Linked DNA regions of Caenorhabditis elegans. The protein of the gene in region 1 interacts with the protein of each later gene in a pairwise test. Each region holds a gene or a part of one and is shown in the gene's direction. Other genes may lie near its edges.

Region 1 (5,916 bases):
TGAAACTTCATTTTGAAAATCTAAAACAAGTTGACCAAAATTGTACTTTCTTTTAAAATTTCGACTTTAATTTTTTTCTACTCAAAATTGTTTTGTGAAGCATAATTTTTCGTATTTTTTTCCAAAAAAAAAAACATTTACAGCCATGACTGCAGCTTTTTTGATTGAGCTTTTTAAAATGAAAAATTACTATTTTCAGATCAGTCTCCAACACGTTGGATCTTGACTATTTGGATCGATGTGAAACAAGTGTTCGAATTACTTTACAAAAGCTGCTTTCTCTACACGAAGCTTGGGGAAACGACAAAGATTCCATATTTTTCCATCTTTCTGTCCGAATAGGAAAATTGAATATGGGTACCTAATCACTTCTTATTCACTGCCTGGTTTTTATCGCCTTATGTTCAAAATTTTCATGCATAATCACTTTCTGAAAATATGGGTTAATTCAATAAAAAATTTTAAATTTTAAATGTTCATTTGTAGGCTAATGTTATTCGTATATAACGATTTTTGAATTATCTTTTTTTGTTATTTAGAAGTTCAATAAGTTGTGAAATCCCTTCCAGATGTCTACCCAGCTCGCCACTAGTATGGAAATTATTCGAAAAAGTCTGAGAAAGGCTGCTGAGGATGTTCTTCATATCAATTCAAAAAATGCTATTTCAAATGAAGTAGATTCTGAAGAATTCAAAGAAACATTGATGAAAGATGCAATGAAGTTGATGGAATTGGAGACTGAAGGTGCTCAAATGCAACACATTTTTGAAGCGTTGCATAATGACCTGAAAGATGGTTCAGACGAGGTTCCGAATGTACGTTGCAGATATTTAAACAAATTATATTAATAATAATTTTGCAGGAAAAAGCATTGGAGGAGTTATACGAGAAGGCGAAAAAAACCCATAAAAATGTGAAAGGCGAGCGACAGTACTTCAAAGACATTATCAAATCTATAAGGGATGAAAGTAAAAACGATGAAAATGAAATGGAAGTGATGCAAGTTCAACATAGTAGAAAGGATCCAATTTCGAAGAAAGATATTGTCAATCCAGTTATCAGTAAGGTAAGTTTTTAACATTTTTTCTCTATTTTTCAACATTTCATCCCCGTCTTGTCATTCGGGTTGTGCAAATATATCATCTGCAATTTATGACTCATTATTTTTTGATTGACCATCCTTGTTCGTTTATTTATCTTTCGAAACATTTCATCACCACCAAATTGCAACAAAAGTTTTATTTTATATCAATAAATCAATATTCCAGAACTGTGGACACGTCTACGATAGGGATTCAATTCATGAGTTTGCTGGCAAAAAGCGAGTTATCAAGTGTGCAATGCAAGGATGCTCTGAAACTATCAACATCGGCCAACTCGCCGATTATCCCGATTACTGGACGAATATTAAACAGCAACAATAAATTATTTGATGACTAATTTTAGTCATCTCTTAATCATTTCATATTGATCTCTTACTCTATTTCATTTTCACTTCACTTCTCAATACCTCTTCCTGCATTTCACTTCTTTTTTTCTCATTTTGTTTCATAAAAATTCGATACGTTCTCTCCCTCTCCGTTCGCCACCTTCCCTCGCCTGGTGGTCGAATAAAAAACCAGTTTGTCCAGTGCGATGAGTCGTTGAACATACGATACAAATACTACTTTTGTTATTCTTTCTAAATCTCTCATATCTATTCCTACTTTCAGAACTTCAGATAACGCGGATGTCTGCGGCGCCGGGGACAATCAGCCCACCAGCTCGCGAACTAAAAACTTCGGCAATCTGTGGATACTTGCATCGGGTACGGTAGTTTGGCCTAAATATATTATTTTCGGAAAAATTTCCAGAAAATTTAAAGATTTATTTTAAAATGTCCAGAAAATTTTAAAATGACATTACTATTTTAAATTTGATCCCGAAGAACTTTTAAAAACATTAAATGCCAATCTTAGGAATCAACAAAAATGATATCCACTGTTTCCAGATCGAAGTTCGTTCGATCGGTCTGATAACACGCCGTCGCTATTGGTTCGCACTCTGTGACTCAACTCCATATCTTTACTGGTATAAAGATTCAGATGACATAAAATGTATCGGAAGAGTCTCATTGAGTGGCGCAGCATTCACTTATGATCCAAGAGAAAAAGGCCGTTTTGAAATTCAGTGAGTTTAATATAATTAATTCGTTAAAAATCGACTTATTTCAGCTCTAACAATGAAGTAATTGCGCTGGAATGTAGTTCAGACAAGCAACGCAATGAATGGATGAAAGCTCTTCAAAGTACACGGAAAAGAAGCTGGAAGGCAACGAAATCAAAATCTGATTCAAGTCTAGATATTTCGTCTTTAACGGGAAGAAATTCGTCTTCGGTCCTCGAAGAATGCTCGTCTCCTTCTCCAGTACCACCACCAAGAAGTCCAAAACCAAAGAAACGAACACAATTCCTAACTGAAGAAGAAACAGACGCTGAAACATCTTCTGATGTTCCTCACTCATCTGAGGAAACTGCCGAAGTGGTTGAAGACACAGACAACACGAAAATACCAGCTGAAGGATCTGCAACGGAATGGTATTTGAATCCAAATGGACAGCTGAATGAACGATCTCTACAGATGCCAAAGGTAAGTGAACATACAACTTGAAAACTTTCAAATTATACTTTCAGACAATCGAAAGCCCAGAAACTGTATTAAAGCGACTAGCTGATCAAAGTATAGAAGCTCCTTTTCGAGCTATTCGAAGAAATCTTTCGACTTGGAGCAGAAGTCGGCAAAATACGTCCGATGAACCAGTTGTTGGAAGTAGAGTATGTTCAAATAGTGATCAAACATTCACTATGAGTAAAATTTTCAGAAAGGTACAGTATCTTCTGTTGATCTAACTCCTGAAGAGAAAGTTATTGAATTGTCTGATAAAGTTTCAAGTCTGGAGGAAGTTGTCGATTCGCTGAGAGCTGCTCTTCTACTAGCTCAAAGAAATAATGAAGCACTGTGAGTTTTATTATTTAATTAAAATCATAATAAATTGTTGAAATTTTAGTCAGAAAATCGAGGATATGGGAGATAATAAGGAGGAAATGCGAGAGTATATACTGGAAAAGGAGCGACAAGTCACCGAATTACATATTTCGAATAGCATGAATGCTCGACGAGTTCGTGATCTTGAAGATCAAAATGTAAGGCTTGAGGATACGATCAATGATTTGCAACAATCAGTAGAAGCTTTCCGAGAATCATTACGAACAAAAGAAGAGCTTATTCTTCGAATGTGTGAAGAAGAAAATCGAGAAGACTTACTAGGATCGATATCTGAAAGAAGCTCGAATATTCCTGCAGACGCAAATGGACTTGTATCGGATGTTGAGGTTCCTGAAGGCATTCTTGTCGATGTATCATCAGTTGATTGTGAAGAAGCTACCAGGAAGTACGAATTTATTTTTACAATTTAAATTTTAAAGTATTTTATTTTAGGGTTCTAGACGAAGAAAATGTTCGTGATATTGGAGAACTTCAAGATCTCGTAGAAGGATACCGTACCCAGAATCAGTTTTTGAATGCGGAAATAGTCCAATTGCATGCTATCACTCAATCTCTGGAAGATCGAGAGAAGAAGCTGATTCGTCAAAATTTCGACCTCGAAGCCTGCTATTACCAATTAAAAAGCCGTTATTTGATGGTTCTAAACCATTTTAAGTCTCCGACAAAACCAGGAAAAAGTGAGTTTTTAAACAATTTTCTGTTATAATATAATCACTTTTGCTCTACAGTAATGGAACCTGGTGTGTTGAAAGAATTACTCGAAGAGTCGGCAAGAACACCTCGAGAATCTCAGCAAAACCTCACGGATCAGTTGGGATTCTATAAAAAGGATGATTTTTCTGAAAGCGATGATCTTTTGGATACTGCCACGTTTTACATGAAAAAAGCGGGAGACGTAGTGGAAGCAACGAAATTGGAACAATCTGAAGAATACATGAAATGGTTACAATCGTGGGATGCGTTCCTTGTCAACAATACAGTATCCCGGCAGACTGCAATCATGTCTTCACCTGATCTAAAAACTCTTATTCGAACTGGAGTACCACCTGCCTACAGAGGTCGTGTATGGAAGATAATTGTGACACATTGGGTGAAGGATAAGCAAGCAGAATTGGGTAATGGATACTATCAAAGTATGCTCAGAAAGGCTGGAACAAAGAAGCAGGATGGAAGTTACGATGCAGCCATCAAACAGGTATATTTATATTATTCTAAATTCGAGTTTCTCATATTATTTTTTCAGATTGATCTTGACCTCGCTCGAACTCTGCCCACGAATAAACTTTTCGACGAGCCAGATTCTGCTAACATAGAAAAACTACGAAACGTACTCTACGCCTTCCGATACCATAACTCTCACGTCGGCTACTGCCAAGGACTCAATCGTCTTGCTGCAATTGCTCTGTTAAACCTGGATGAGCAGGATTCGTTCTGGTTCCTTGTAGCATGTGTGGAACATCTCCAACCTGAAGGATATTACACTAGCTCACTGATCGGAGCGGTTGCCGATCAGAAAGTTCTCCGCGATCTTGTAGCAGAAAAGCTTCCAAAATTGGCTGCACATTTGAGAGCTCTTGAAGTTGATCTTTCACTTTTCGCGCTCAGTTGGTTCCTGACGTGTTTTGTAGATGTACTCCCGCATTCTATTTATCTGACTATATTCGATGCATTCCTCTATGAAGGAAATAAGGTTCTTTTTCGATTCGCACTGGCACTTTTCAAAATATGCGAACCTCACGTTCTTCAATGTAAAACTATTGGTTTGTGACTTACAACTTTAAATTTATTAGTTTTTTAACAAGAATTTTCAGGCACAGTTCATCAATGTCTCAGCAAAGCTCAAGAACATATCATTGACTTCAAGTCGCTAGCTCAAGTGGCATTCAACGAACTGAATCCGTTCCCTCAGAAGACTATAGAAACTAAACGACAACTCTATTTGACACAATTGAAGGTAAACAGTAATATATAAATAAATTCTAATATAGCGATTATTATTTTCAGGATACTGGCCACTGTATGTAAATCCGACACGAACATTCTTGTACATCTAATCTGTATTTTCTTTCGATTTCTAGCATAATTATGTCTTCTTCACACAACTTTTTCACTATTATTTTCAAACTTCTGTGATTCTCCTTTTTCCTTATCAATTTCTTTTACGGTTTACTTCCCCCCCTTCAACCCGTTTACTTGTGCTCCGTTTTTACACATGAGACTGAAAATATCAAATACGCAACATAAAATTAATCTGCAAATCATTTACTATATATTATAACTCATAATTTACATAATAATCATGCATATTCATATTCTACAGTATATAACATTATTGCTCTGATTTCATAACCTAGAAAAGTGACAATTCAAGTGGGAAAGTGCAAAAAAACTAATCTTAAAAATGTGCATCAATAAATTATGTCGATGACTTGGCACAGGTAAACATTTGGGCAAAGTAAAACAATTTGACTGGCGTTGGGGCTTATAGTGGGTAAGGTATAATTATTAAAAATCAATTGAAAGCCGATCCAAAGTCCGCAAAATCAGCGAATCCAGCCGGTTGAGTTGATTGTCCTTGTGATGGGCTGAAATTATTTAGACTTTAAATAAATTGATACTCACTAAGACTTACGCAAAAGGATCATTGACAGGTGTTTCGCGAGCAGATTTTGGAGGAGCTGGGCGAGGTGGAGCAGGTTTTGCGGGAGCCGATTGTGCGAAGCCAGAATCCGATGGGAAGCCTCCTTGAGCAAATGGATCAGTTGGGAAAGCGGCATCAAAATGTCCAGATGAGCCGAACTGATCTACTTGGGCGAATGGATCAGCAGCAGGATCTGGAAATTGAATTTATGTTATATATTCATATTTCAA
Region 2 (7,186 bases), on another chromosome or scaffold:
ATTTTGGCGAAATTCGTGTTAACAAAATAGTTTTTTTTTTTTTAAATGAAGAATTGATTTTTTTAAACCAATTTTTTGGGATATAATCAGAATAGCCTATTTTTAGCAAAAACTTTGAACATTTCCATGAAAATTTGGTGAAAAATGTCAAAAATAGCCAATTTTTATCCAGAAATCGAAAAAATTCAATTTTTGTTAGGTTTAGACCCGTTTTAATCGAAATAGTTTTTTCTTATTAAAATTCACGCTGAAAAATCCGGCAAATCGCCGGTTTGCCGAAAATGTGTTCGAAAAATAAATTAAAATATGTCAAAAAAATTTCAAAAATTTTTTTTTGAAAATTCTGAAATTTTTTTTAATGAAAAAAAGTCTCAAAAAAAGTAAAAATTTTTTCCAATTCCAGGGCCCGATTCCGACTTCAGAAATGATGGATCGCCAATCAAAAGGACTTCTTTCGGCAGAAGGTGTTGCCAGACGTTCTGGAACAAATGGACATTTTAATCCAGTTGCCAGAATTGATTTCGAGCTTTATTTGTAAAAACTCTCCTAAAAAACCTCTCCTCCTCCTCCCCTGAATTTTAGCAATTATATGATTCATATTTCATTTTTTTTTGTTTCATTTTCATTTTTTCCCCCATTTTTTTTTGTTTCTCTGAATCTCGTTTTCACTCTCTATCTCTCTCTCATCACTTAGAACACACATTCATTTCTCTCACTTTTTCCGCCTGAAAACAGCTGAAAAAAAGTCGGAAAAATGATTCGGTGCCGAAAACTTTTCAAATACCGAAAACTCGCTATTCAACATGATATTTATCACAGTTCCGATGACATTTCTCGAGGTTTTTTCAATTTTTTTTTGTAAATTAAATTTTTTTTTTCCCGTTTTTTTTTTGCCCTTTTTGGTCCTAAAATTGCATTTTTTTTCAAGTTTTTAACTTGAAAATTCATTTTTTTGGCCTATTTTCGCCCCTAAAACTGCACTGTATTATATAAAATCCCCAATTTTTTCCTTTTTTAAAAAAGCTTTTTTTTTTAAGATTTTACGGTTCCAAAAGCCGCTAAGTTTCTGCTGAATTTTCTGGGAAATTTCTAGATTTTACATTAAAAAACAAATTTTTTTTAAAATTCTAAATTTTAAACTTCGCTAAATTTCTAAATTTTGGTGTAAAAAATTAGAAGACAAATTTTTTTTTAACCGGTCATTTTCCGAAAATGAAACCTCTGGTAATTTGCCGGTTTGAATATTTCCGGCAAATCGATAAATTGCCGGATTTTAATATTTCCGGCAAATCGATAAATTGCCGGATTTTAGTATTTCCGGCAAATCTACAGTTTGCCGGTTTGAATATTTTCGGCAAATCTGCAACTTGCCGGATTTGAATATTTCCGGCAAATCGATAAATTGCCGGATTTTAATATTTCCGGCAAATCTGCAATTTGCCGGATTTGAATATTTCCGGCAAATCGGTAAATTGCCGGAAAATCCAGTTTTTTGCCGGAATTGAAAATATTTTTTAAAAAATTTTCAAGTGTAATTTTTATTTCATTTTAACTAGAAACTCTAGTTATAAACTAGAAAATGTAATTTTTGTCTAGAAAAAACCGGAAAATCCGAAAAATTCACGAATTTCCTAGAGAATTTTGAAAAAAAAAACCCCCAATTTCCAGGCTTCTGCAACCCAACATCAATGGCGGGAACTCGGGATTACGATCATTTGTTCAAATTGCTGATTATTGGAGATTCGGGTGTCGGAAAGAGCAGCTTGTTGCTCCGTTTTGCAGATAACACCTTCTCTGGTTAGGCATCAAATTTTCTAAGGGAGAAAAATTCAGATTTTCCATTAAAAAAATTTTATTTAAAGAAAACTCAGTTTTGACCCAAATTTCCCAAGAAAATCGGGAAATTGGACAGAAAAACGGCAAAAAACCAATTATTACAAATAATTTTTGTTTTAAAAATAAATTTTTTCTAAAACTTTTGGGTCAAAAATTTGTTTTGTCCGATTTTTATTTAAAAAAATGAATTTTTCCATCGAAATTCTGATTTATCCGATTTTTATATTTGAAAAAATAATATTTTTTGCTTAGAAAATCAGTTTTGAACTCAATTTTCCCATGAAAATCGCGAAATTAAACAGAAAACTTTGAAAAACGCAATTTTTTGCTGAAAGTAGTCAAAAACCTGTATTGCGCGGCTACAAAAATTCTGAGAATGCGTATTGTGCAACATATTTGACGCGCAAAATATAACTATATCTCGTAGCGAAAACTACAGTAATCCTTTAAATGACTACTGTACCGCTTGTGTCGATTTACGGGATCTCGATTTTTTGAAATGAAGTAAATTATTTATTTATCAAAATTAATAAGAAGCAAAAACGAAAATAAATCGAGCCCGTAAATCGACACAAGCGCTACAGTAGTCATTTAAAGGATTACTGTAGTTTTCGCTACGAGATATAGTTTTATTTTGCGCGTCAAATATGTTGTGCAATACCCATTCTCAGAATTTTGTGTTCCTATAATACTGAAAATAGCAATTTTACCAATAAAAAAAATTTTTTTTTGCAGAAAACTACATTACCACAATCGGCGTCGACTTTAAAATTCGTACAATGGATATTAATGGACAACGTGTCAAACTTCAGATTTGGGATACTGCCGGGCAAGAGAGATTCCGTACAATTACATCGACGTATGGCGGAAAACTTTTTTTTTTTTTTCAAAAAAAAAATTTGAAAAAATTGCAATATTTTATCACATTTTTGTTTGCAGAAAAAAGCCCAAAATTTGTGGTTTTTTTTTTTTTTTTTTTTGAAAATCAAAAAACTTTGTGGGAATTTTCAAAATTTAAAATTTCTATGAATTTCAGAGACAAATTTGGAGGAAAATTTCCGATTTTCCGGAAAATCGAAATATCTTCAACTTAAAATTCAATTTTTATCGAGTTTTGTATATATTTTAATGAATAAATTGGAAAATTATAAAAATCTCAAATTTTATCGAATTTTTGTTAAATTTCGTTGAAAAAGTAGAAAATTTACCAAAATTTTGAGATACTTTTAATGGAAAATCGAAAATTTTTTATTTTTTCGAAAAAACGAAAAACTTTTGTGGAAAATTGATACAATTTATTTAAAAATCGAAAATTTTTAGTTTTAGTTTTTTTCAATTTTAGTTAATATTAAAAAATTAACGATTTTTGCAGTTACTACCGCGGAACACACGGAGTCGTTGTCGTCTATGACGTCACAAATGGAGAATCTTTCGGAAATGTGAAACGGTGGTTGCAGGAGATTGAGAATAATTGTGATTCGGTTCAGAAGGTTCTTGGTAAGGAGCAGAAGCAGCTTTTCAGCTGAGCTAAAAAAAATTTTAAAATTACGATTTTCCTCCTTTTTTTTGAAAAGTTGAAAAAAAATGGAAATAAAAGGGTAATTTAACTCAATATCACTATAACTTTTTCCTCACGAGGGACGAGGAAAAGTGGTTTCTAGGCCATGGCCGAGGGGCCGACAAGTTTCAGCGGCCATTTATCTTGCTTTGTTTTCCGCCTGTTTTCTTTCGTTTTTCACAGCTTTTTCCCGTTTTTTCTTTTTCTTCTTTTTTTCTTCTTTTCGTTTTTTCTATCTGATGAATAAATACTTTTTGCAGATGCTAAAACAATTTCCAAGTAAAAAAATTATGTATTCAGTGGGCAAGCAGCGGTGAAAGTGGTCACTGCAATATGATGGATTACGGGAATACAAAACCTAAAATTTTTCTGAAACATGATAAATATGATGCTTAGATGCTGAAATTACCTGATTTTCATAACGAGACCGCTGAAAAAGTTTTGAGGTTTCCAAAATTCAACTTTTTTGGTGAAAAAGTAGAGATTTTCGTACAAAAAGTTGAATTTTGAAAACCTCAAAACTTTTTCAGCAGTCTCGTTATGAAAATCAGGTAGTTTCAGCATTTAAGCAGCATATGTATCATGTTTCAGAAAAAGTTTAGGTTTTGTATTCCCGTAATCCATCATATTACAATGCCCACTTTCACCGCTGCTTGCCCACTGAATACATAATTTTTTTACTTGGAAATTGTTTTAGCATCTGCAAAAAATATTTATTTATCAGTTTTAATAAGAAAAAACGGGAAAAAGCTGTGAAAAACAAAAGAAAACAGGCGGAAAACAAAGCAAGATAAATGGCCGCTGAAACTTGTCGGCCCCTCGGCCATGGCCTAGAAACCACTTTTCCTCGTCTCTCGTGAGGAAAAAGTTGCAGTGATCAATTTTCATAGTTTTTCGCGTTTTTTTTTTTGAGAAATTTGGAGAAATTTTGACAATTTTCCACATTTTTCAAGGTTTTTTTTTGAAGAAAATTACAAAAAATTAACACTAAAAAGTTCCGAAAATGATGATTTTTTTTAAATCTAATTTTTTTTTCAATTTTTTAATTAAAATTAACATTATTTAGAGATATTTTTCAAAAAAACCTTTAATTTTTTTCCGTATTGATTTTTTTTTTCAAAAATAAACAAATAATTCCGTTTTCAGTCGGCAATAAATGCGAAGAAAACGAGCGTCGAGTGGTTTTGGAGAGTGATGCACGTAATTATGCTCAATCGATGAATATCTCGTTTTTTGAGACTTCTGCCAAAGAGGACAAGAATGTCGAACCGGTAAGAACGAAGAAAATATTGAATTTGGGAATAAAAATACATTTATAGTTGAAAGTGGCAAATTACAAAAAAAATTAAATTTTAGAATTTTTCGGTTTAAAAAAATATAACAAAATATATTTTTCCGAAAAAATGTTTAAATATGATTTTTTTTTTAATTTTGGAAAAACCAATAAAAATGGCAGAATTTTTTTTTTGAATTCCCGCTGATAGTGAAACTTTATTCTTCAATTGTTCAGACATCATTCTGTAATGAAAACTTGGTAATAGGAAATAAGTTTGCTGAAGCTGCTCAACAATTAACTTAAAGGTGGGGTACCGAAATTTGAGACTTTACTTTTTCAGATCCAAAATGGCCCAAAACTACCGAATTTCGTAATGAGACGTTCTGAAAAGTTTTCAAAAAAAAGGTATGGCGGCTCAAAGTTTTGGAAAAAATGGCCTATTTTTAGCTAAAATCTTAAATTTTGGCAACTTATCGGTGTCGCATCGGTTGAGACGTAATTTTTATTTGATTACCATTTTTTAATGCATGTTTTGGCATTTTATTAGGTGTTGTTTCGTCGATTGAGATGTTTTTTTGGCCAAAAATATGATACAATTTTGAGTCCCCCTTGGCCAAAAAAACATCACAATCAACGAAACAACACCTAATAAAATGCCAAAACATGCATTAAAAAATGGTAATCAAATAAAAATTAAGTTCCAACCGATGCGACACCGAAAAGTTGCCAAAATTTGAGATTTAAGCTAAAAATAGGCCATTTTTTTCCAAAACTTTGAGCGGCCATAGCTGTTTTTTTGAAAAATTTTCAGAACGTCTCATTACAAAATTCGGTAGTTTTGGGCCATTTTGGGTCTTAAAAAGCAAAGTCTCAAATTTCGGTACCTCGCCTTTAAAGGTGGTGAAATTTTTTAAATTGTTTTAATAGACTCAAAATTGTCTGAAAACACCGAATTTCATAATGAAACTTCTTGAAAAATTCTCAAAAAAAAGTTATGACGACGGCTCAAAAAGTGGCCTAAATTTAGTTGAAATTTGAAATTTGACTTGTCAAGCGGCTGGAAACTAACTTTTTTGAAATTACCGTCAAATTGTGAGTATACAATGTAATTATCTTGCGTTTTCAACTTGATTTAGGTTTTTTAAAGTCGATGGACGGCGAGATTTGGTTAAAAAAATTAAAAATCTCGCCGTCCATCGACTTTAAAATACCTAAATCAAGTTTAAAACGCAAGATAATTACATTGTATACTCAAAATTTGACGGTGATTTCAAAAAAGTTAGTTTCCAGCCGCTTGACAAGTCAAATTTCAAATTTCAACTAAATTTAGGCCACTTTTTGAGCCGTCGTCATAACTTTTTTTTGAGAATTTTTCAAAAAGTTTCATTATGAAATTCGGTGTTTTCAGACAATTCCGAGTCTAATAAAGCAATAAAAAAAATTCGAAAAGCGTAAGGATTGGAATAATTCAAAAAATGTTTTTTTTTCATAGAGTTTCAGTAAAATTTTCAGAAAAATTAATTTTTTCCCCATTTTTTCAGATGTTCACATGCATCACGAGCCTCGTTCTGACCGCCAAACTCGCAAATCCCCAGTCGGCTTCAAAGGATCAGAGCCGCACGGGCGGTGTATCTCTCAAGGACAATTCAGGAAGCACCAATCAGAAAAAGAAGTGCAAATGTGGATAAATTTTTCGTTTTTTTTTTTAATTTCTCTCACCATCATTCTCTATATTGTTTCACTTTGTACTATCATCAAAAATCGCAAAATTCTCGAATTTCCCCTCCCCTCTCCCCTGCCTTCCCGCATGTGCATATACAACAGTTTTATTCCCAATTTCCAAATCGATCGACTGCTTTTTTTTTTGGCTTTCTATCTGTTTTCCCCTCCTTCCTAAATTACTAAAATATTTAACTTTTTGACGAATTCTTTTCAGGAAATTGTTTTAAAATCCAAAAAAAGAAAGCTAATTTTGTGATATTTAATTTAGAGAAAAATTTAGTTGAAAAAAAAAAATAAAACTAATTTTTTTTTAAATACTAATTTTTGTTGAAAATTCCCATAACTTCATAATTTTTCCTTTAAAAAAATTTGGAAGATTATATATTTTTTAAAGTTCTAAAAAAAACCTTAAATATTTTAAAATTCTAATTTTTCCTAAATATTTTTGTTTGAAAATTAATTTTTTTTCGTACAAAATTTGATAGAAATTCCGAAATTTTCACTTAAAAAAATTAAAATTTTCTCTCACTAATTTTGGCCAATTTCAGAATTTTTTCGAAAAATCACCACTTTTTGTTTAAAAAAAACTCAATTTTTTCCAATTTCTTTGCCTAAATTTTCTAGAAAAATTCCCATTTTACAAATTTATCCAGAGGAATGGATTTTCAATTAAAATCTTGAAAAAAACTAAAAAGTAGAGAAAATTGGAAACTTTGGTGGGTTTAAACGTTAAAAGAGATTAAATTTAAAAAAAAAGGGAGATCGAATCGAATAATTTGGGTGGATGGGATCAT

Evidence for each region.
Region 2: the proteins of tbc-2 (region 1) and rab-35 interact in a two-hybrid assay, tested with the Caenorhabditis elegans proteins (one study listed by BioGRID).

What each region holds. Positions count from the first base shown.
Region 1 is NC_003280.10:5,823,240-5,829,155, reverse strand, and holds tbc-2 (PH domain-containing protein), read left to right. Parts: upstream 1-1,712; 5' UTR 1,713-1,729; coding exon 1,730-1,807; intron 1,808-1,990; coding exon 1,991-2,169; intron 2,170-2,213; coding exon 2,214-2,628; intron 2,629-2,672; coding exon 2,673-2,813; intron 2,814-2,860; coding exon 2,861-2,997; intron 2,998-3,046; coding exon 3,047-3,430; intron 3,431-3,477; coding exon 3,478-3,722; intron 3,723-3,773; coding exon 3,774-4,240; intron 4,241-4,288; coding exon 4,289-4,805; intron 4,806-4,856; coding exon 4,857-4,999; intron 5,000-5,049; coding exon 5,050-5,070; 3' UTR 5,071-5,300; downstream 5,301-5,916. Other genes in the region: gtap-1 (Dynein heavy chain 7, axonemal), read left to right, coding at 200-365; ZK1248.11 (E3 SUMO-protein ligase NSE2), read left to right, coding at 570-815, 863-1,066, 1,269-1,424; ehs-1 (Eps15 (endocytosis protein) Homologous Sequence), read right to left, coding at 5,558-5,630, 5,678-5,879.
Region 2 is NC_003281.10:11,306,049-11,313,234, reverse strand, and holds rab-35 (Ras-related protein Rab-35), read left to right. Parts: upstream 1-1,668; 5' UTR 1,669-1,688; coding exon 1,689-1,797; intron 1,798-2,571; coding exon 2,572-2,695; intron 2,696-3,208; coding exon 3,209-3,333; intron 3,334-4,540; coding exon 4,541-4,665; intron 4,666-6,211; coding exon 6,212-6,358; 3' UTR 6,359-6,588; downstream 6,589-7,186. Other genes in the region: teg-1 (GYF domain-containing protein), read left to right, coding at 404-538.